Drosophila melanogaster: one gene and its partners. The protein of the gene in region 3 binds, or shares a complex with, the protein of the main gene of each other region. Each region holds a gene or a part of one and is shown on either strand. Other genes may lie near its edges. The genes, in order: Arp2, Arp3 and Arpc2.

Region 1 (7,937 bases), on a different chromosome or scaffold from region 3:
CAAGATTAATTAAATCGTAGCTAAAAGAAACAAATCAAGGATGAGGCGGCAGTCGCAGAGTTTCCCTCTTAGCTTTTATAAAAAAAAAAAAGATGGAGAAATGGAAACAACTTACTCAACTAATTGAGAGATACACCATATTTATATAGATATATATATAGCGTTTTTTTTTTTTGTTAATCCTCCACCACAACTATATAATTATTGAAAGTTGATGAAAGCTGTTGGGCCGTTTAAGTTTCAGAGTTTCTGTTCTATATGTGGTTAAAATTGTTAATGTTGTTACACCGCAAATGCATACTTAGTTAGTTAGTCGAGTGAAATGGGAGTTCCCCCAAATCACATTTAATTGCAATAGTCTCGAGTATTGAACGCCAAGAACACCAATTCCATAGAATGATTGTATACACTCAGAAAATCAATCGGCATTTATGTTCGAAAATCGCCGCAAATATTTTCAACAAGTATGGGTTTTTACGGATTTAAAATAATGAAATTGAAAACTAAATTCCATATTGTTAGGCTATAAACAAATGTTTCTATTGATGGACAACATTTCAGGTATAATTTTTGAAAAACAACAAATATTTATTTCAATTGTTAATACCAAAATACGCATAGGTCAACAATTAAGTTTTAATTTTTTTTTTTTAATATAGTTTAATTATCAAAGAACTATACATTTTAAGCCATTAAACGTAGGCAATATTCAGATAATTTTCTGAAATAAATTAATTGTAAATTTTGGATTCTCTTAGGGCGATTTGCATTCCGAGTGTATCAAGAGCCATGGTAAATAATAAAGCTAAGAAGTATTAATAATTCTACACTATGTATGACTAACAATACATTTGCTTAGTTCCCTCGATAAAGAAAGTACATAACTATTGCATGAGGCATAGGCAAAACTTCCTGGCACATAGTAAAAGTAAATAATTGAATAGAACGGCTGAGGAGGAGATGAGTAGATTTTGATAATATGTACGTCAAGACCATGCCAACATACTTATGGGAACTATTTAAAAAGCATTAAAACGTTCAATATAACACATAATACCCAGACAAAAGCAGAATCAAAAAATGCGGGAACGAGACGGCTGCATGGTATATACATACATATATAAGACATTTCGCCTCTTAAAGCAATTATAAAGATAACAAATGAGTAACGTTTATTATATTATTAAATTATACATACATATACATACTATATAAACGGAATAAAATAAATCAGCAACAAACTTTCCATTTTATGGCGTTCGATCACTTAACTTTTTATCCTTGGGAGCAGTATTGTCAAGTTATCATTTTTCTTCTTAATTGCTTAAATTACAATTCTTTAAATACATGCATGTATTCAATGATGGCGCCAAATTTTGAACCTGTTTTAAGTCTTAATTCAAGAATATTTTTCCAAGTATGAGAGTGAACGAGAGGCAAGAGCGCAAACGAAAAATACCAGAAATCAATGTGAGTATTTTGAAATTTCAGCAATTGCCGAATTGGTTTTTCAAATAGATGTGATTAGTTGTTAAATTGCCAAATCTTTAATCCAATAATTTAATTAATAAAGTCTTAATTGAATTGAAATTGTTTTGTGTAAATCCTGTGCAAGTAACATATATTACTAATAAACTTGTATTTTTTAATCTTTTTTAAATTGTTAAAAGTGGCACACAGACTAGTAAACTTAATTAACAAATTTGTAAAATAATAAAAAAATATAATTGGATCTAGTATCTAAACGGTTCTGGTATTTATTTTCGGTGTTTTGTACGCTTCAGTCCAACGCCGATAGTATCGAATATGCATCTATTTTTATTCAACTCTGGGGAGTAACGAGGGAGTTTTTGTACAGCAGTATAACTAAATTATAAGTATAAATAGTCGATAGCGGCAAACTGTTTCGGCCTAAATTTAATTGCGAGTCTAAATTAAGAGTTCAATTCCCAATAACCGCCAAACGAAGCGGCGATAAACGTAAGCGATAGAGTGGCGAAGAGAGCAAGGTTCCCGCCCGCGTGTTGTGAGAGTGTGCGAGTGGAAGAGGAAAGTGTATGATTAAGTACAATCGCTCTCCGGCGGTCCAAATACAAAAAAAGCCGAAAAGGAATCAATTAACAGTAGTGCTCAACAAACGGCCCAGGAAGTCAACAGGAAAGGCGATTGATGTGCAATATTTTGTTTGGTTTTATCGAGCAGAGGCGCTGCGAGCTGTGATTTCAAACCGAATCACAACCAACACCCAAAAAGGCAACCTGGTCGCGTCATCAGTGGAAGTGGAAAGGCAGTTGCCACAGCAGAGGCAGAAGCAACGGGAGTAGCAGAAGCAGTGGTTTTCCAGAGATCCGGTTTTGAGTCCTTCAAGCATGGACAGCAAGGGTCGAAATGTTATCGTCTGTGATAACGGCACTGGGGTAAGATAACGGGAAAGTCACCACCCGCACCGCCCACATCACCCACAAGCGGTGAAAACAGAGCGCACACACCCACACCATCACCAACGACTGGTGTGTGACACACATTTCGAGTGTTGTTGGCTGCGCTTCTTTCGTTTTCTTCTTCTTGTGGACTAAGCAGCGCTTCTGCTGCTGCTGCTTATTTCACTGCTTGCTGGCCAGCGGGCGTTGACGTCGCGGTTAGTCAAGCAGTTGCAGCAGTTGCAATTACGCGATTGCCTCTTCCTCTCCTTTATATTCCGCTTCCCCACTCTTCTTCTTGCTCTCCGCTTGACTAATCAGTGGATTACTCACGATTCCAGCGTTACTCAGTATCTCCCACACCTACATATTTGTCGAAAGAGCGACACTGGCACACACCAACACTTCCATAAAATTTCCGACAATCAGTTCTTATCGCAGGCCCAGAATTTTTGTATTGTGATAACGGTCCGATTTCGATAAGCGTCCGATAAACCACAACAGTAAAAGCGCAAGCAAATGCTGCACCGAGAAAAATGATTTAGCTGGTCCTAAACCAAATAATCAAAACTAATTCAAAAATTTTTGTTTTGTGATAACGGTCCGAATTCGATAAGTCACAGCAGTAAAAACGCAAGGAAATGCTGCACCGGGAAAAATGATATAGCTGGTCTTAAACAAAATGATTAAAAATAATTATTTATTATTATTATGTGCAATTTTTAAGTACCTGTTGATACAAAAGCATTTTAAATTATCATATTACGTGTTAGGGCTTAACTCAAATAATAATATATGTACATATGTCGGCTGTCATATTATTTTAATGTGTTTCCACATACACCATAATATAAATATATGTATTTATGACATCTCCATTTATTTTTCAGTTCGTTAAGTGCGGATATGCCGGCAGCAATTTCCCCACCCACATTTTTCCCTCGATGGTGGGACGACCCATGATTCGGGCGGTCAACAAAATCGGCGATATCGAAGTCAAGGTATGATCCATCGTACTTACCAATTAAAGTATCTAAAATTAATTAACAATATGATGAGATAGTACAACCATATACACTACACAAATTCAATTGTGCACAGGCCATCAAATACACGAATATCCATATATTATATCATTTTTTTTTTCGATGTAACTACTCCATGACTAGTTAAACGGCAAGAAATACATTTAGCGCATAGAAGTTCACTATCCACCAAATTACCCACCATATTTTTTCACCCCTAACCCATCTGATTTTGGAGTGGAATTGCTCTATTTTCTATTCTGTCTATTAGTGTCGCATATCTACTTACTTCTATATAATTTGTTTTCGATCTACCCCATTCGCATATCGTTTCATTTACCATCTTGATTTCATCACTTCTGGGGGTCACTTATCCCAATATTGCATTTTTGCTTGAGTTGCATTGGTCTCGGTGTGTGGGCCCTCATATTATTATACACATGCATACAAAATATATAAATATATATTATGGTAAATATATCATGCTAAAAGTTGGTCCGTGGATATCTGATTTTAACCAAGGTTTAGGCATAGCTTAATAAACTGTGGATATGGAGGCTGAACCCCGCAGACATTAAGCTTTTTTTTTTTTTGAGTGCATCACTTGATTTTCGATATATAGATCTTACTTAGAAGTTCTTTACTTTAGACAGAAGAAACATCAAATTAAGAATCATTAAGAACACATCTTGAATAGCAATAAAAAAAAAAACGATACAGAAAATAAATATTTTTAAAATTGTAATCTTTCTGTTCTTTTTTAATATTCTTATACATTTTTCTGTTCTTTTTTTCACATATATTTTTAAAAACAAATGTTTTGCAGGATTTACATGTCGATGTAAGTCAAGTTTGTATAGTTAAAAAAAAAACCAAAATCCAAACTACCACTACCAGAAATCTAATCACCAAGTAAACATAAAATAATAAAAATTTGTATACGATTGACACAATACGAAAATACCAAAAACCAAAATAACACACGCTTGGCAAAATATTGCGAAATTTTTTTGAAGTTCAAGCTGCGCACTTAGGATTTAATTAATTAATTAACTTAACTGTTAACTGTTCACATTTTTCACTAGTTGTTTGCCTTGAATATTTTCCCAACTATATTCCGGCCCCGTCCAACTATCTTGTTGCTTCCTTTTGGCCATCATCTATAATTGTACTCCATCCACAAAATCGACAAAATCCACAATCGAAAAAAAAAAATTAAAAAAAAAAACAAATCTATTAATTCTCATATCGGATAAATCTGAGGCGTGTTTAAAACCGAATTCCAATCGAATCTGTTCAATTTAACGACAAATTTACGTAAATATAATTTTTGTTATTTAAGTTTTACTCCTATGTTTTCATACCATTTGTTTCCTAGCTTACACCCTTTGGTTTTTTTTGTACATATCTTAAGGCAACCAAATTCAGTTGCTTCTCGTTTTAATTGTGATTTGCTGATTTGAAATTGTTATGTGTTCTCGTCTGCATGATGTCCTGTGTCTGCTTAGCCCTATTTTAATCCCCCGTTTGTTTTGCACGTCCCTGTGTTTGCCAGTGTTCCGGAAAGGCAAGTCCTTTTCCGCAACTACTCACACTCACTGCTGCCTCTTGTTAATCGTTGATTGTTTAGACGAGTTTAGTTGCATTCTTGTAGTGTGCTCGCTGTTATTGTGCCTAACACCTGTGTATGTCTCCCACACTAATGACTAACCATCCCAGCCTCTAAGCAAATACCCAACCAATCAACCATCCAACCAACCAAACAGTCCAAACCAATCCGAATCCCAATGGCTATCCATTGACCAAGCCACGGACACTAACGCTGCGTCCTCTGACGAACGAATTTACAGGATCTGATGGTCGGCGATGAGGCCTCACAGCTGCGATCCCTGCTGGAGGTCTCCTATCCGATGGAGAACGGTGTGGTGCGCAACTGGGACGACATGTGCCACGTGTGGGACTACACGTTCGGTCCCAAAAAGATGGACATCGATCCGACGAACACAAAAATCCTGCTAACCGAGCCGCCCATGAATCCCACAAAGAATCGCGAGAAGATGATTGAGGTGAGGTCATACCATATTTTAAAATCCCACTTCAAACTAACATTGTTGTGTTTGTGTTCACAGGTGATGTTCGAGAAATATGGCTTCGATTCGGCGTACATTGCCATCCAGGCCGTGCTGACGCTATATGCCCAGGGTCTGATCTCTGGCGTGGTGATCGATTCGGGCGATGGTGTAACGCATATATGTCCCGTCTACGAGGAGTTTGCCCTGCCCCATCTGACGCGACGATTGGACATTGCCGGTCGGGATATCACTCGCTATTTGATTAAGGTTGCTTTGCCTTACAATTACATATAGCCAAACTGTGACTTATACTTTCGCATCTATCTATGATCATTAGTTACTGTTACTACGTGGCTACGCTTTCAATCATTCCGCCGACTTCGAAACGGTTCGCATAATGAAGGAGAAGCTCTGCTACATTGGCTACGACATCGAGATGGAGCAGCGTTTGGCCCTGGAGACGACGGTGCTGGTGGAATCGTACACGCTACCCGACGGTCGTGTTATCAAGGTCGGTGGCGAGAGATTTGAGGCGCCAGAGGCTCTGTTCCAGCCGCATTTGATCAACGTCGAGGGACCGGGCATTGCGGAACTGGCCTTCAACACCATCCAGGCGGCAGACATCGACATACGGCCCGAACTCTACAAGCACATAGTTCTGTCCGGCGGCTCCACCATGTATCCGGGTCTTCCCAGTCGGCTGGAGCGTGAGATCAAACAGCTGTACCTGGAGCGGGTACTCAAGAACGATACGGAAAAGCTGGCGGTAAGTTGTCAAGTAAAGCTAATCAATGCACATCGTGTTTAACAAATTGAACGATTACATTGCAGAAATTCAAAATACGCATTGAGGATCCACCGCGACGCAAGGATATGGTCTTTATCGGCGGAGCTGTTCTGGCGGAGGTGACAAAGGATCGCGACGGCTTCTGGATGTCCAAGCAGGAGTATCAGGAACAGGGTCTCAAAGTATTGCAAAAGCTGCAAAAGATCAGTCACTAGAGGCGGATGGATGCGAAATCAGTGTGTGTGTGTGTGCGGACCGCAAGAAATAGGATAAAAAAGTGATAGATTTCTTTTCTCTATTTTCTATAGGTTTAAACCTTTCAGATTTACGTGATATATCCGTCTATATATGTTTTTTTTTTTGTGTGTGCCTGTGCGAGTGGGCGTGTCTGTTGAGCAGGATTGGTCCACTTGCCCTTAGATTATCTATAATCGCAGACATGTCGTCACTGGTCGTTATCCCCGTACAATATAATGTAATATTTCTTTGAGCGCGAAAACTTTAATTCGATAGTCGCCTAAATTGTGTAACCCTGCATTAGTGTGTTTAATTGTTTATAATTACGTCTAAAATTCAAACCCAAAAGCCCTTTTCTTTAATGAATACGCATATATAACTATATATATATACATATATAAATTCAAAGCACCTCGAGTGCGGCGATATTTTTGTAAACGCAAAATGTTTCATTTCCAGCGAGTATTTCACATTAAGTATTAACTAGGCCAAGTCTGCTAGTAGCAGCTACTAAAATCGTGTGTGTGTTAAGACAGAGACAGAGACAGAGGAAATATAACGAGGAAGTTGCATAGCACAGAAGGAGAAAGCGCGAGTTCGGTCGTTAACTAAATACACTGATTGATTCGATCCCGTCTCGCCTCCCGACACTCGACCTTAAAGTAAGCATTTCTGGATTGTCTCCAACTAGATAAAGATGAAGTTACCTACCCATAAAGATACAGATAATCGAAGTCACAAGATTACGCATTTACGTTGCCCCATAATCGAAAGTACCATCAGTCGAAGTGTTAAATTTGATTTAATTTCCTTACCTGCCTTTTCTAGTTAGTTGCAATTTGATGATTGTTGGGGTCGCAACTATCGGCATATGATGAATAGTATATACATATACATATGTGTGATCCATATACATATATCCGTATATGTAAAATGAATGTGGAATGCCAATTATGTAAGTGAATGCAATAAACGTAATTATGTATGATGTGTACTGTATACTGTAGTCTAAAACTAAATCGCATACGACTTTTTTATGGTTTTTTTTTTGCCAAATTAAAAACAAAACAAAAATGACAACAAGAGAGCATGCTATAGTCGAATTCCCCGACTATCAGATACCCGAAAAGAGTTGTTTGGCAAATGGATAGAAATTTAAGAGACTAATAAAAATATGAAAAAATTCAAAACTTTTTTTTAAAAGTGAGGGCATGCCCGTTTTGGGCGGTTTGTGGGCGCGGCAACATGGGTCAACAAACAGTTCTTGAGATCTCGACTTTCATGCGGACGGACACGTCCAGATTGACTCGGCTATTGGTCCTGATCAAGAATATATATACTTTTATATGGTCGGAAACGCTATTGATCGTGATCAAGAATATATATACTTTTATGT
Region 2 (5,419 bases), on a different chromosome or scaffold from region 3:
GGGACTGCCATAACTAAATTTATACATACAACGTTAGTTATCTAGACTATGACTATAGATACTGCCGTCAACGTACCGCTCGAACATGCGAACCATGATGTGCAGGGCCCACTTCTTAGTCTTCCAGTAGGGGAACTCCGTTCGCTCATCATCGTCCAGGTGCGAGCTATCGGGCACTGCGCGATCAGCCACCTGACGACAGATCTCCATCCACTGCGAGAAGATCTCCTTGGTAATGAGGTCCAGTGGAAGGGTGTATTGCGTGAGGGCATAGTAGATCTTGAGAATTTGCTTTTGTAGCAGCACAGATTGCTCGGACTGCTCTGCCAGCAGTCGGACCATCAGCTGGTAGATCATGGGCAACAGTAGGTTCATTGCCTCGTTTAGCGGCGTCCTCTCCTCATGCCGCTTGTACTCGTAGGTCTTGACCAGCTGGTACATGGTTACCAGAGCTCCGTTCCAGCCGTTGACATCCTGGTTTTGCAGATATATGCTGATGCTATCCACCACCTGTGGCCAGCGTCCAGGGAAATCGCTTTTAATGATGTGATTGACGCAGACAGACAACTGGACCCTGTGTACAGAACGAAATTAGCCCCCTGGAAAGGATTTTCAATGGATTTACCCACCTAATCAACTCGGGGGCGTGCACAATAGCATCTACAATAGCGCCACGGATCATAGCCCGATCCTGTTCGTGTATAGAGAAGGGTATTGGCTCTCCAGGCTTGGCCTCGTGGTCCGACCAGCTGCTGTTGATCAGATTCTTGAGGTAGACAGCACCGGCCTGGCGCACCGGCTGTTCCACCGTCGTCTGCATAACGATCTGCAGTATGGTGGGCACAAATCCGATGATTTTGTGTATCTGTGGGGATTTTAATGTATAGAAATAAAATAGAATGGATATGTTTACACAGCTGTTTGGGGTTGGGTTAAATTTGAATTGGTCAAAGAATCAATGGCAGAAGCACTTTAAATTCCGTTCACAGAGCTCAATTAATATGGAGGAGCCAAGAACAACTGCTGGCCATAAGCGCTGATAAAGTTAATTGACAACAGGGGGGTTGGTGGGAGGCGATTGGGAGGGGCATGCAAATCGTTAGATGCTGACTCAGTCGTAATGAGCATGCCTCTACAGTGGGGCCAAAGCAATTGGTTAGTGGGGTGGGGTCTAATTAGACTGGCCGCTCTGATTGCCCACATTTATTTCCAAGGGAATTGCGTAAGCTTCAATCAAAGGGCATTCCGGCGATATTTCGAAAGTCTCAATTAAATATTTATTAACAATTCAGTGGATTTCCGAAGAATCACACGAAACTCGCAATAAATATGTACACATATAGAAATATATATAGCATACATACATATGTAGGTGCCCCAAAGATATCGACTTGTTGCCTCTGGGGCAACAACATAGAAGTCGGGATAATGGTAAACACATAAAGGGCAAACTTTTTGACCGATATCGGATTACACTATCCACACCCACACACTTGTACAACGACCAGAGTGATGAAGTGCGGGAGCGAGGGAGGTTAAAAGCGAACAATTAAAAAAGCACATGGTTTTCAGGCGATGGCGCCACCTCCAAAGACCTTTCGAATTCAAGTGCAGGCGTTTATTTTTGGGAGCAAACTCACCTGGGCCAGTTGATCCTCGGCCGCCTTGCGCTGTTCCGGATTCGGATCAATAGTTGCGCGCAACAGTTCCGTGAGTTTTTGTGCCTCCATTTTTGCTACTTTTGCTTGATTCTATGTTTCGCCGGTCTTTCTGCTGCACTTCGTCGTTTGGCGGTCACCTTGTGCCCACTGTGCACCCGCTGTTCTTGCCTTTATATAGACCTTGGTTTATGCTAGCCGAACCAGTGGCTCCAATGTGTGGGCCAAATTGCAAATCTCTTTTTCCGGAGGAAAAAACGTGGAAAAGACTCCACACACGCACACACACACCGCCGAAATTCGCGAGACGAACGAAGCTTAGAAGAAGAAGAAACAGCGCCTGTGTGTGTTGACTAACGCCGCAGTGTATGGGGCCCTACAGGGCTGCATTATGTTCGCCGGTAACAGTTTAGCCAAAAATTCGAGCAATATTGAAAAGCCTTCGCTGCGGAAAATCTAGGCACCATTTATATATAGACCACTTGCTTCATAAGGTAACTATATTTAAAGGCTTAAAAAACAGCGACTTTTCACAATTCCCGATAAATTGCCATTCAAGTTGCATGGCCAATCGATTGTTGCAGCCCTGGCAGCTGCTCGTACGTGAACACGCGAATGTGTGTGTGACGAAGAGCAAAGTGACACATAGTTGGAGGTGTGGTTGAAAATATATAGAAATCTGGGTTTATCTGCAACTGAAACGAAGGGAAATTTGTGTTAAAGGCGAGCGAAGATCGCAACTGAAGAGCTTTAACTGGCAGCAAGGCAAAAGGACGAGCAGCGACCATGGCAGGCAGGCTACCGGCATGCGTAATCGATGTGGGCACCGGGTGAGTTTTTAGTTTCGATTGCCCGTGGGGGTCTCCAATTGGACGGAAAGGAGGTCGACTGACTAACACTCTGCTTGTCTGCACATCCATCAGCTACTCCAAACTGGGATTTGCCGGGAATAAAGAGCCGCAGTTCATTATTCCCTCGGCGATTGCCATCAAGGAGTCGGCACGAGTGGGAGACACCAACACACGGCGCATCACAAAGGGCATCGAGGACCTGGACTTCTTCATCGGCGATGAGGCCTTCGATGCCACCGGCTACTCCATCAAGGTATGCTCTTGTATCTATGGTCATTAAGCAACCGACATCACATTTATCATTGCATTCCAATAGTATCCGGTGCGTCATGGTCTGGTGGAGGACTGGGACTTGATGGAGCGCTTTCTGGAGCAGTGCGTCTTTAAGTATCTGCGCGCCGAGCCTGAGGATCACTACTTCCTGCTGACTGAGCCGCCGCTAAATACGCCCGAAAATCGGGAGTACACCGCGGAGATAATGTTTGAGACGTTCAACGTTCCTGGTCTGTATATCGCCGTCCAGGCGGTGCTTGCCCTAGCCGCCAGTTGGGCCTCCCGGTCCGCAGAGGAGCGTACCCTTACAGGCATCGTGGTGGACAGCGGCGATGGAGTGACGCACGTCATACCCGTGGTAAGTAGCACAGATCTTATCTTATCAGCAGAGTTGGGTTGGCACTGGATTCGGTAAAAACTGTTTGAAAAGAGAACCCAAAACCGAAACAGTCGACGGATTTATTTAATAAATAAATAGCACATTCTGAGGCTATTATTAATACTACAGAATGTTATATTAAGAGGGAATTATTAAGATAAAATAGCGTATTAGTTATAACCATATAAATATATTAAGCTGTTTTTCATTTCTAGGCCGAGGGCTATGTGATCGGCTCCTGCATCAAGCACATTCCCATCGCGGGCCGCAATATCACCTCGTTCATCCAGAGCCTGCTACGCGAACGGGAGGTGGGCATTCCGCCGGAACAGAGCCTCGAGACTGCTAAAGCGATCAAGGAGAAGCACTGCTACATCTGTCCCGATATCGCCAAAGAATTTGCCAAGTACGACACGGAGCCGGGCAAGTGGATACGCAACTTTAGCGGCGTTAACACGGTAACCAAGGCGCCGTTCAATGTGGACGTGGGCTACGAGCGATTCCTGGGACCCGAGATCTTCTTCCATCCCGAGTTCTCAAACCCCGACTTTACCATTCCACTGTCGGAAATAGTGGATAATGTCATCCAAAACTGCCCAATCGATGTGCGGCGTCCTCTATACAATAACATTGTTCTGAGCGGTGGATCAACGATGTTCAAGGACTTCGGCAGGAGGTTGCAGCGAGATATCAAGCGATCGGTGGACACACGTCTCCGGATCAGCGAGAATTTGTCCGAGGGACGCATTAAGGTGGGTGATATCACAGCTGCTAATGAGTCATACTTCTTACTTTGATTATTTTTGTTACAGCCAAAACCCATTGATGTTCAGGTGATTACGCACCACATGCAGAGGTACGCCGTGTGGTTTGGAGGCAGCATGTTGGCTTCAACGGTAAGTTATAGTGGCCTAAGATCCGTAAAATCCTTTATCTCAATATTCTTCCCATTTCTAGCCCGAGTTCTATCAGGTGTGTCACACGAAGGCTGCCTACGAGGAGTATGGCCCCAGCATTTGCCGTCACAATCCCGTCTTTGGCACCATGACATAATTGATCCGATCCAATCGGCTTGCAGCAGTTATTTTTGATTTATTTTTCCATTTAAAATTGATTTATTGATTTATTCTCCAACTATATATATATATATATACATTGCGATTCGGTATTCCACGCTAAAGTATTAGTAATTATTCTTTTCTATATGTGTTTAGCTATTAACTCTGTGTAAATCAGTTTCGTTCTGTTTAATTTCGTGTGATTTTGTTAGGCTAACTATAAAGCAACAACTCCGATGTCTGCCAGTTCAACCCCCTATCTAAGGTGCATTATTTCTAGAAGTCGACTTTTATACCATACTCAAACACGATCACACACAGTCACACCGATCTAAGCTCTTGGAGAAATCCCGGCTCTATACACAATTAAATACGAAAACGCTCTACTTGTCATAGAAATATTTATAATTGCAATAACTGCAACCAATTCAAACACTGAATGAACAAAAAAGGAAAAACGAAAAGAAATATTGATGAGAAATCTGTTTGTTATATTGATAAGCGTAATTAAAAAGGCATTAAATAAATCAATAAAACATTCTTTAAGCTCAAACACTTTCGTCGCTTTCGATCTAAAGCTTTTACTGGAAAATTTTATTCAATGCATAAGTTACATATATATATTTTTTTGTGTTCAAATTGCTCTATGTATTGTATATATAAATTTTGTGACGGTGTCGCTAAGCTGAGAAAATAGCAAAAGGTGGTTTCCAAAAAACATGTCCCGAGCTAGAAATCCGAAACAACTTCGTTACGCCTCGCGTAATTGACAAACTGACTAGTCAATGTAGTCACTGGAGCCCTCCTCCTCGTCGTTGCTGCTCGTGGATTGTGCCGCCGCCGTTTCCGGCGAACGCAAGTGCTCTGCAATCCGGAAGTTTTGCAGGAAGTCTCGCATCGCGTCCATCATTAGCGTTAATGACTGCTGCAAACCAGCTTCTGCAATAATGTTGGAGGAGAAGTGTAACTACGATATCCGCTAGCGATTCTTTTGGAATTTCAGCATAATTTTAGGTTAGATTTTTGACGATTTTAAGAATGAGAAACAAAATATCGCTTTTAGCCAAGTTATTGAAACAAAAGCCAAAGCTTTAATACAATTTCGGGATATGAACGAAATTAAGCAAAGCCATAATACAACCAGCGAAACATATTCTAAGATTCATGCTCTGTGACGAAACGGGGGCGACAAAATCGGTT
Region 3 (8,327 bases):
CCATCTCGCCCTGCCGCTTCTCTATCACAGCACTTGCTTATATCAAATTGGAACAGTACGATGATCCCTAGGGGCTCTGTAAATTCACCCGCACCCTGTACAAACTATCGGAAGTACTTAAGCAGTAAACTCTCTATCGCAATGAACACTGCCACTGTAAGTAAGTAGCACATCTCAATAGTAACAGTCAAAGCGCTCCTCAGTCCCAACTTAGTTTACCCAACACATTTCTTTCAGTGTGTGCCCGCATCCAGAGCGACTATCTCAACTTCCAGGTCAGCATGGAGAGCATGAACGCGAAGCAGAATGTTAAGTTTAAGATCTAAGTGCCTGTTATAGTATTGTGCAGCGGAGATGGTATACCTAAGCGAAATATTAGTAACATTTAAGACATTATGTGCAATTAAAAGCTAATAAGCTAGAAAATAAAGTGTATTCGAGCGTCTGCAGCTAGCTAGAGATTAAAAGAGTGTCCCTTTTTTTATTTTACATTGCAGTTTGATTTTCTCGTTTTTATTAATTCCGATTGCTGTATCAAAGGTTTGTTAATATTTGCAGTACGTTTTTAAATGCGCTTTCTACACATACAGGCTAATTGCGGGGATGAATCCTCCATTGCGACTATATAACAAGTTGGTGGCATCCCTTAGTCGTGTTGCTCGCTTTGACATGGTAGTTTTAGTTCTCATGTTGCACTTAAGTCTACGTTTATTTGTTTAAAATGCGGCTCAGCTGTGGCGCTGACTCGGCCTATGACTGTAACAAATTGGCGGAGACACGGATTTGACGATGACTCGACACAAACACACACAATTCATTTACTAACGCGTAACTATTAATTCTTTGATCATTATTTTGCTGAGCTTACATTTAGCCTTACGGTTCTGTTTGGAATACTTGGGTTTGTCTTGCAATCTGGTTTAGTTTATGTTGGATTCACCATTCGGATATCGAATTTTAATACACAATTTATTTTTTGTATTTATATAAAAACAACTAAATATACTGAACACATCAATCGATGCGCTTGAAAGTTCTCCCCCTGCAAAAAGAACACGAGTTAGTAATCAGAATTCGTTATGGAAAGTCCAATGCTCACGTTATAGTTTTCTTCTCCGTGTTTTTGGGCTCTGGCCTTGCACGATTTAGCACCTTGAGGAAATCCGAGGTTTTTGCTCGCATGCGCGAATGAATGTAAGCCTTTGAACACTGCTCAAAAATGCATATTTCAAATATATAAAAGATATTTTTGCATAGCTGCATACAACACTTACCTTAATGTGGTAGTGCAAGTAATCTCGGAACATGTGAATTAAGTTAATGGTATTGTCCCTTGTTTCTTTGTTGGTATGCCGAGGGAAGAGTACTGCAAAAAACAAGTATGAGTCGTTACTATTTTGTTTCTTTTGGATATTTCAAAGTGTAACATCGGTTCAATTCTAAGAAGTACTGTACACAAACACAAGTCATCTGCGATAATATGATTGATTATTCAGGATGCCGTTCGTCTACTTATTTAATATTGGAGCATTAGAGACACAAATTGAAGGAAGGTATACAAAATATGCCACTTTAACTCCATTGGGATTACATTAGCTGTGCACTGTGCACCAAAGAAATCATCCAAGGAAATATAAGACTGCTTCGGATGATTCGATCGAATATATTGATTTTGGAGCATTGTAGACACGAAAACGATAATATTGTTAACATGTAAACTTTGTCTCCATTTAAAAAAGGCAGTCTAAGATATTCTTTTACTGTACACAAACACAAGTCATCTGCTATAATATGATTGATTATTCAGGATGCCGATTGTCTATTTATTTAATATTGGAGCTTTAGAGACACAGATTTAGGGTAAGTATTAAAAATATGCCACTTTAACTCCATATGGAATATACTGACATTTTTGTAACGAAAGAAATCATCCAAGGAAATATAAGACTGCTTTGGATAATTGGATCGGATATTGATTTCGGAGCATTGTAGACATAAAAACGATAATACTGTTAAAATGTAAACTTTGTCTCCACTGAACAATTCAGCTTGGGGATTCTGGGTTGGTGTGTTACTGTACACAAACACAAGTCATCTGCTATAATATGATTGATTATTCAGGATGCCGTTCGCATATCTTGTTGATATTGGAGCATTTGAGACACAATTCAAATTGTAATTTAAAACATGCCACTTTGACTCCACAGGTGACTTTAATGCATTATTGTGCGCGGAAGTATTTATCATTGGATATATTTATAAACTAGAATGTTCAAGATGATTTTAACGATACTATTTATATGGAGCCTTGTAGACATGGAAAAGACAAATGCACTTTAACGTGTAAACTTTGGCTCCACAGCACATGGTTTACCATTCAACCTTTAACATACCGAATGTGACATAGCCAATGTTGTCGCCCACCCTAGCGTCCGTGTTGGCCAATTCCAATGGTGGTTCTCGGTGCGAAAAGAGCACTTGTGGTGCGGTGTGCGAGGCACGCCGACCTTCCCTCAATTCCTGCATAAATACTTTGCCGATAATGACATCGTCTTCGTCCCGGAAAATGGTACTAAAGACGACGGTGACACGATCAGGCTTGGCTTCCACATATCTGCAAATCGATTGTAGATTGTCAGCGCTTGGACGAGTCAAAAACATATTTTTCTGACTTACAAAGTCTCATCGTTGCGGTAGTTAATGACGGCACGCTTTTGGCCCTCTTCGCCCTGCTCCTGATAGTCAAAATACTTTTCAAAAACCGATGCGAAACAGTTGCGCTTCAGCAGTCCGATTCTCTTTGCGATTTGCTCGCAGTCCTCGGGAATCTCCTCCAGGTTGATAAGTACGGAAACATTGTAGCCTGCAATTAGACGAGAGTAATTAACTTCTTTAAATGCCGAACTTAAACACGAACGTACCTTCTTCCGTGTCTGTAAGCAGACTGCCATATTCACGCTTCAGCAACTCGTCGGCTCCATGTTCTTGCAGCTGTTTGTAGAACTTCAGCGATATGCTGATCTGTTTCGCAGCCCAAGAAAAGTGAGAAATCGTTAATGTTGGATTTATCCTAAATGAATAGTACGCGGTACACTTACCCGAACTTTTGTTTTATCGCCATTCACATTGGAAATGTGATAAAGGACGCCGTCGAAGTCTGCTATTCGTATGTCTATCGATTCAGGCTTCAGTCTGGAAAGAGAATTAAAAAGTAAATTCTCATTTATTTTCTTGCTTATTAGTCATGCTCCCCACACTCCACCGTATCTTATCACATAAACTCGTTTATACCCGATTATTTTTCCAAAAGAAACCAGCAGCAATAAAATTATATTTTGCGTTTTCGAATAAATTAAAACATCCGTATGTATTTGTATCTGGATCGCTAAGCCGATATCTAAATTTAGTTTAATTCAATTACAAGAACTAAACAAATATTTCTGAATAATGTACACGAACTCAAGTCATCTATTGTGATATGTAGGATCAAACAGGATGCCGTTCGTTTGTATAATTAGTATCGGAGCATTAGAGACACAAATTGGATAAAAGTTCCAAGGCATGCCACTTTGGCTCCTAAATCGTACTTTGCGATCTTAAAGCGATTGTGCGCGAACTCAAGTCATCTGATGTAATATTATTAATTACTCAGGATGCCGTTCGCCAACCAAGTTGATTTGGGAGTGTTTGAGACACAGGCAGGTTTATATATCCCGAGAATGCCACTTTACCTCCACGACATACATATCTATAAATATGTGCACGAATTAAATGCATCCACAGCAAAAATATTGAATGCCAAGGATGATTTAAACGAACATTTGCTCTTGGAGCATTGTAGACACGAAAAAGATCTTATCCTTAGCATGTAAACTTTGTCTCCGAAGACGGGAGTCTTATAAAGGAATGTAAAGCTATCAGGAGCTATTGTAGGCGAACACAAGTCATCTGTTATAATATGCATAATTATTCAGGATGCCGTTCGCCTTTGCATTTGATATTGGAGCATTTGAGACACAAATAAAAATGGATTAAGTGTGCCACTTTGACTCCAATCCATTTTCATATGAACAACGAATGTATTGTGAACGAATGTATTTATCTATGGAAATATAATTATATCCAAGATGATTTAGACGTTCAATTAATATTGGAGCATTGTAGACACGGAAAAGAAAAATACTTTAGCATGTAAACTTTTTCTCCATATGACTATTGAAGCATTTTGAAGTTGTGCACGAACACAAGTCGTCTGTCTTAATATAAGTAATTAAACAGGATGCCGTTCGCTTATAAAATTGATATTGGAGCGATAGAGACACAGATCAAAGGAAAGCTATAAAATATGCCACTTTAACTCCACCCAAATATTTAATTAGTTGTTGTGCAGTTGGCAACCATCTTAGGCAATAAAATAAATCGAATAAGACGATTTAAACGAACAATTTATTTTGGAGCATTGTAGACACGAAAAAGAAGCCACATCATCTTCAACATGTAAACTTTGTCTCCCGAGGCATTATTGGTCTAATAAATCGAATACTATTGTAGTCGAACACAAGTCATCTGCTATAATATGATTGATTATTCAGGATGCCGTTCGTCCTTTCGTTTGATATTGGAGCATTTGAGACACAAGTTACAGGAAGATCGTAAGACGTGCCACTTTGACTCCAGAATATTACAAAAGTTGAACATTTTATGGCAAATGTACACGAACACAAGTCATCTGTTATAATATGATTGATTATTCAGGATGCCGTTCGTCTTTCTAGTTAATGTTGGAGCTTTTGAGACACAGATCAAATATTGTTTTTGAAGAATGCCACTTTGGCTCCAAAGCCTAAAATTTGCAATAATGTACACGAAAGTATTTATCTTAAGAAACAAAAAGAATTACTCAAGATGATTTAAGCGTTACAATTTATATCGGAGCGTTGTAGACACGGAAAATGGAGAATCTTTAGCATGTAAACTTTGTCTCCCAAGAATACAGATAATAGGGGAGTAATATTGAAACTATTAGTTTTTATGTACACGAACACAAGTCATCTGCTATAATATGATTGATTATTCAGGATGCCGTTCGTCCTTTTGGTTTATTTTGGAACATTTGAGACACAACAGGAGATTTTTTCCAAGTATGCCACTTTTGTTCCACAATTTATAACTTTTATTGCCTTAATTTCAGGCATTACACTGCAATCTTATCGGGAATAAACTAATGGCATCATAACTATTAGCATTTAAATACATTTATTTATGTGAGATCTTAATCATTCGCTACCAAACACAAATACCTCTTTCTGCTGATAGTGCTGTTAGTACAATAAGTTATTTTACTAATTTTAATAATTTTGTTAGTCTGTAAGCTTCGTCTAAGCTTCTTCTAAACCGTTTAGCTTAAACATATTTCTTTCGTAACACGACTCCTTTGATAATGTTTCTTCAATAATAATATCCTTTTTCGGGATTAGGAACAAATAAATACTAATATTTTCGATCATCACAAGCGTATGCGTTTGAATGCACGTCAATGGATGAGTCAGTTTTGCAGATTTTCAGCACCGATGATGCGAATAGCGAGTTGTAATGAATTAACTAATACGCTGTCGACGTAAGGGGGCTGCACTGTACTTGGGTACGTGTGTGGGAGGGAGAGAGCTGCAGCGATGAGTGTTCCAAGGCTGGAACTACACCCAAATTTATTCCCGAGGAAAGAGAGAGCTAACGAAATTGATAACAAAGCCGACTGGTGATAACAGAACGGTGGGGAATGCAGCATAGAAATCAAAATGGTGGAATGGAAATTGGGGAAACGGGACTGGAAGGCATTGACTTACCCAGCCTGGGCATTACGGTATTTGACCAGCAGCGTCTCCTCGATAATCCGATTATTGATTTCCAGCAGGATCATGGCGGTTGAAGTTAACTGTTATTTTTAGTGTGCCAATTTCGATGACAAATTATATGACGTTGACTGCCGCTAATGGTGCTGCTGCTCGCTGCTTCTTCTTCTGCCGCTCCCTGCGCTCTTTCTGCGCTCCGTTGAGTGCGAGTAAGACGGTGCGCTGCTCCAACTCACCAATACTGGTGCATGACGGGCGTATTAATGAATCAACAACAAAAAATGGGCGCTGATGTCGGCTTTTTTGGTCCGTCACACACACATGGACGCACTCTCGCCACACACACGGGCGAATTCCAATGCTCACACACACAGTTGCAAGAAAATCCACCTTATCCTCTTTTCGCGCCTCCAATTTCCAATCGCCAGTACTTGCAGCGCGCACGATGCAGTGCAAAATCGGTCTCAGACCGTAATACTTATAAAATTATAACAAAACGTGGATGGAAAACGGGGAGCACGCTGCCGTATTTTCCTTGCTCACAGCGTTGCCAGGTAGCACAATAGAGATGGGGCAAACTCACCGATGGAAAGATTGAAGTATCGAGCTATCGACCATCAATGTTATCAGGTTACACAGAAATTCAAACCAGCAGATTTTAACAAACATAAAGAGAATTTTCTTTAAAATATATAAAATAGAATATATTTTAAACGAAATTCGTACACACGAACTTTAAATTATAAATATGTATTAAGACATTTTAAGACAAACACACAAATATTTTATTTAACATTGTTATAATAACGGTGCTATAAAACTAAGAGGCACATTTTTTTAACAGAATAATCTGGCAGCCCTTTTTGTGCGATGACCCATCGCCTATCGACTATCAATATTTCCCGCCAGGCTGCCGGATCGTTCAGAATAAATAAAAACAAATAATAGCGAAAATCAATGGACGACGATGAGCTGATTAAATTGATAGAGAGACACCCGATCCTGTACGACAAGGACTGCGCGAGGAGCGTGAAGAATGCGGCGCAAAAGGACGCGGCCTGGAAGGCCATCTCCCAGAAGTTAGGAGCCTCGGAACGGGCGTGCATTACGCGCTGGAAGAGCATTCGCGATCGTTTCGGCAAGGAGTTTCGCCGTTTCCAGGAGCGTCCGGATGAGCCCACCTACTGGGACATGTTTCCGCGACTGCTCTTTCTCAAGGATCACTACAAACAGGGACTGGCAAGGAACGAGAGTCTCGACGGGATGCGTTTTGAGCCCAGGGAGCGGAAAAAGCGCACAAAAGTGGACATGGAGCAGGAGAGGCGGAGAAAGGACGAGGAGGAGGAGGACTCCCAGGATGACCTGCTGAACGAGCAGCTCATTGAGCTGGTCAAGTCTCATCCCGTGCTGTATGATCGTCACAAGATCAGAGTCTCCAAGAACCTAGCAGCGAAAAACGAAGCCTGGCGAGAGATTTCTGAAAACCTAAATGTGTCGGGTGAGCTCGGGGTAACCCTCTTGATCTTCAGCCCTTAATGCCGATAATTTTCAATAGAGGAACTTTGCTACAACCGCTGGAAGAAGCTGCGTGATCGTTTCGGGCGGGAGTTCCGCAGTCATCAGATCAACCAGTCCACGCCCATCACGTGGAGGTACTTTAACGACCTTCTCTTTCTGGGCCGCCACTTCCGCAAAGGAGTGCCCCTGGTTTTGGAGAACATCAAGCGACGTGGACGACCACCCAAAGCAGGAAATCCTTCGGGAAAGACCAGCAAACAGCCGGAGGGAATGGTGATCTCCAGTGGTGAGCAAATCTGGGGCGCTGATTACCCCTACAGTACGGACAACGACGATCTGGAGGATGATCTTGAGTTGGCCTACGATGAAGAGATTGAGATACTATCGGAGGCGGAGCAAGCAACGCCGTACGATTTTATCCTCAGCGAAGCGACGGCACGGCAGGACTTGGAGCCACCACAGCAGCTCCAGGTGACCACCACCACGCCGGCCACCAGTGAGGAAATAATTCACACAATCGCCAGGGTAAATCCCGTCGTAGAGGAGTCCTCCTCTCTCCCTGGGGACTCTGTACCGTCTGCCGCCATCTCCGACAAACTGTTGACCACCGTGATTGCCAACATGGAGACCGTGCTTCAGCAATCCCGGGAGCTGCAGGCCCAGATTCACCACGAACAGGAGCAGGAGCGAGAACAGCGAAGTACACAGCCTGCCAACAGCCTGCTTGCCAAGGCTCAGATGCTGCTGGACGGACTGAGTCCGTCTGAGCGGGCAAGTGCCGAGCGTAAGATCGTGCAGTTCCTGTGCCAGTGCCAAATCAAAGCCCTCGATGGCGAGGAGATCGAGGATGTGGCACCTTGTCAGGTCATTAACTGAAATTAGAATGTTGTAGATTAGCTGCAAAAGTATTACGAAGAAGGGTTATTACATAAGTGTAAGCATGAAAATATCTGTAAATAA

The links.
Region 1: Arpc2 (region 3) and Arp2 share a complex: the UniProt entries of both Drosophila melanogaster proteins name them as parts of the arp2/3 complex.
Region 2: Arpc2 (region 3) and Arp3 share a complex: the UniProt entries of both Drosophila melanogaster proteins name them as parts of the arp2/3 complex.

The regions. Positions count from the first base shown.
Region 1 is NC_004354.4:16,547,824-16,555,760, reverse strand, and holds Arp2 (Actin-related protein 2), read left to right. Parts: upstream 1-1,809; 5' UTR 1,810-2,369; coding exon 2,370-2,417; intron 2,418-3,310; coding exon 3,311-3,421; intron 3,422-4,271; coding exon 4,272-4,286; intron 4,287-5,295; coding exon 5,296-5,511; intron 5,512-5,574; coding exon 5,575-5,784; intron 5,785-5,854; coding exon 5,855-6,283; intron 6,284-6,348; coding exon 6,349-6,519; 3' UTR 6,520-6,976; downstream 6,977-7,937. UniProt on the Drosophila melanogaster protein: Functions as ATP-binding component of the Arp2/3 complex which is involved in regulation of actin polymerization and together with an activating nucleation-promoting factor (NPF) mediates the formation of branched actin networks.
Region 2 is NT_037436.4:8,112,751-8,118,169, reverse strand, and holds Arp3 (Actin-related protein 3), read left to right. Parts: upstream 1-2,267; 5' UTR 2,268-2,444; coding exon 2,445-2,488; intron 2,489-2,581; coding exon 2,582-2,762; intron 2,763-2,825; coding exon 2,826-3,140; intron 3,141-3,376; coding exon 3,377-3,913; intron 3,914-3,973; coding exon 3,974-4,057; intron 4,058-4,118; coding exon 4,119-4,214; 3' UTR 4,215-4,763; downstream 4,764-5,419. Other genes in the region: msk (moleskin), read right to left, coding at 1-13, 77-574, 630-865, 1,641-1,730; Nulp1 (nuclear localized protein 1), read right to left, coding at 4,998-5,158. UniProt on the Drosophila melanogaster protein: Functions as ATP-binding component of the Arp2/3 complex which is involved in regulation of actin polymerization and together with an activating nucleation-promoting factor (NPF) mediates the formation of branched actin networks.
Region 3 is NT_033779.5:20,415,184-20,423,510, reverse strand, and holds Arpc2 (Actin-related protein 2/3 complex, subunit 2), read right to left. Parts: upstream 6,455-8,327; 5' UTR 5,918-6,454; coding exon 5,844-5,917; intron 5,164-5,843; exon of another isoform or gene 5,030-5,163; intron 4,989-5,029; exon of another isoform or gene 4,857-4,988; intron 4,842-4,856; exon of another isoform or gene 4,707-4,841; intron 4,678-4,706; exon of another isoform or gene 4,544-4,677; intron 4,515-4,543; exon of another isoform or gene 4,378-4,514; intron 4,367-4,377; exon of another isoform or gene 4,230-4,366; intron 4,209-4,229; exon of another isoform or gene 4,081-4,208; intron 4,056-4,080; exon of another isoform or gene 3,926-4,055; intron 3,886-3,925; exon of another isoform or gene 3,755-3,885; intron 3,738-3,754; exon of another isoform or gene 3,603-3,737; intron 3,580-3,602; exon of another isoform or gene 3,446-3,579; intron 3,193-3,445; coding exon 3,099-3,192; intron 3,022-3,098; coding exon 2,922-3,021; intron 2,864-2,921; coding exon 2,677-2,863; intron 2,615-2,676; coding exon 2,394-2,614; intron 2,361-2,393; exon of another isoform or gene 2,237-2,360; intron 2,208-2,236; exon of another isoform or gene 2,073-2,207; intron 2,037-2,072; exon of another isoform or gene 1,911-2,036; intron 1,895-1,910; and 13 more. Other genes in the region: CG15130 (uncharacterized protein), read left to right, coding at 238-326; CG10949 (uncharacterized protein), read left to right, coding at 6,807-7,347, 7,405-8,243. UniProt on the Drosophila melanogaster protein: Functions as actin-binding component of the Arp2/3 complex which is involved in regulation of actin polymerization and together with an activating nucleation-promoting factor (NPF) mediates the formation of branched actin networks.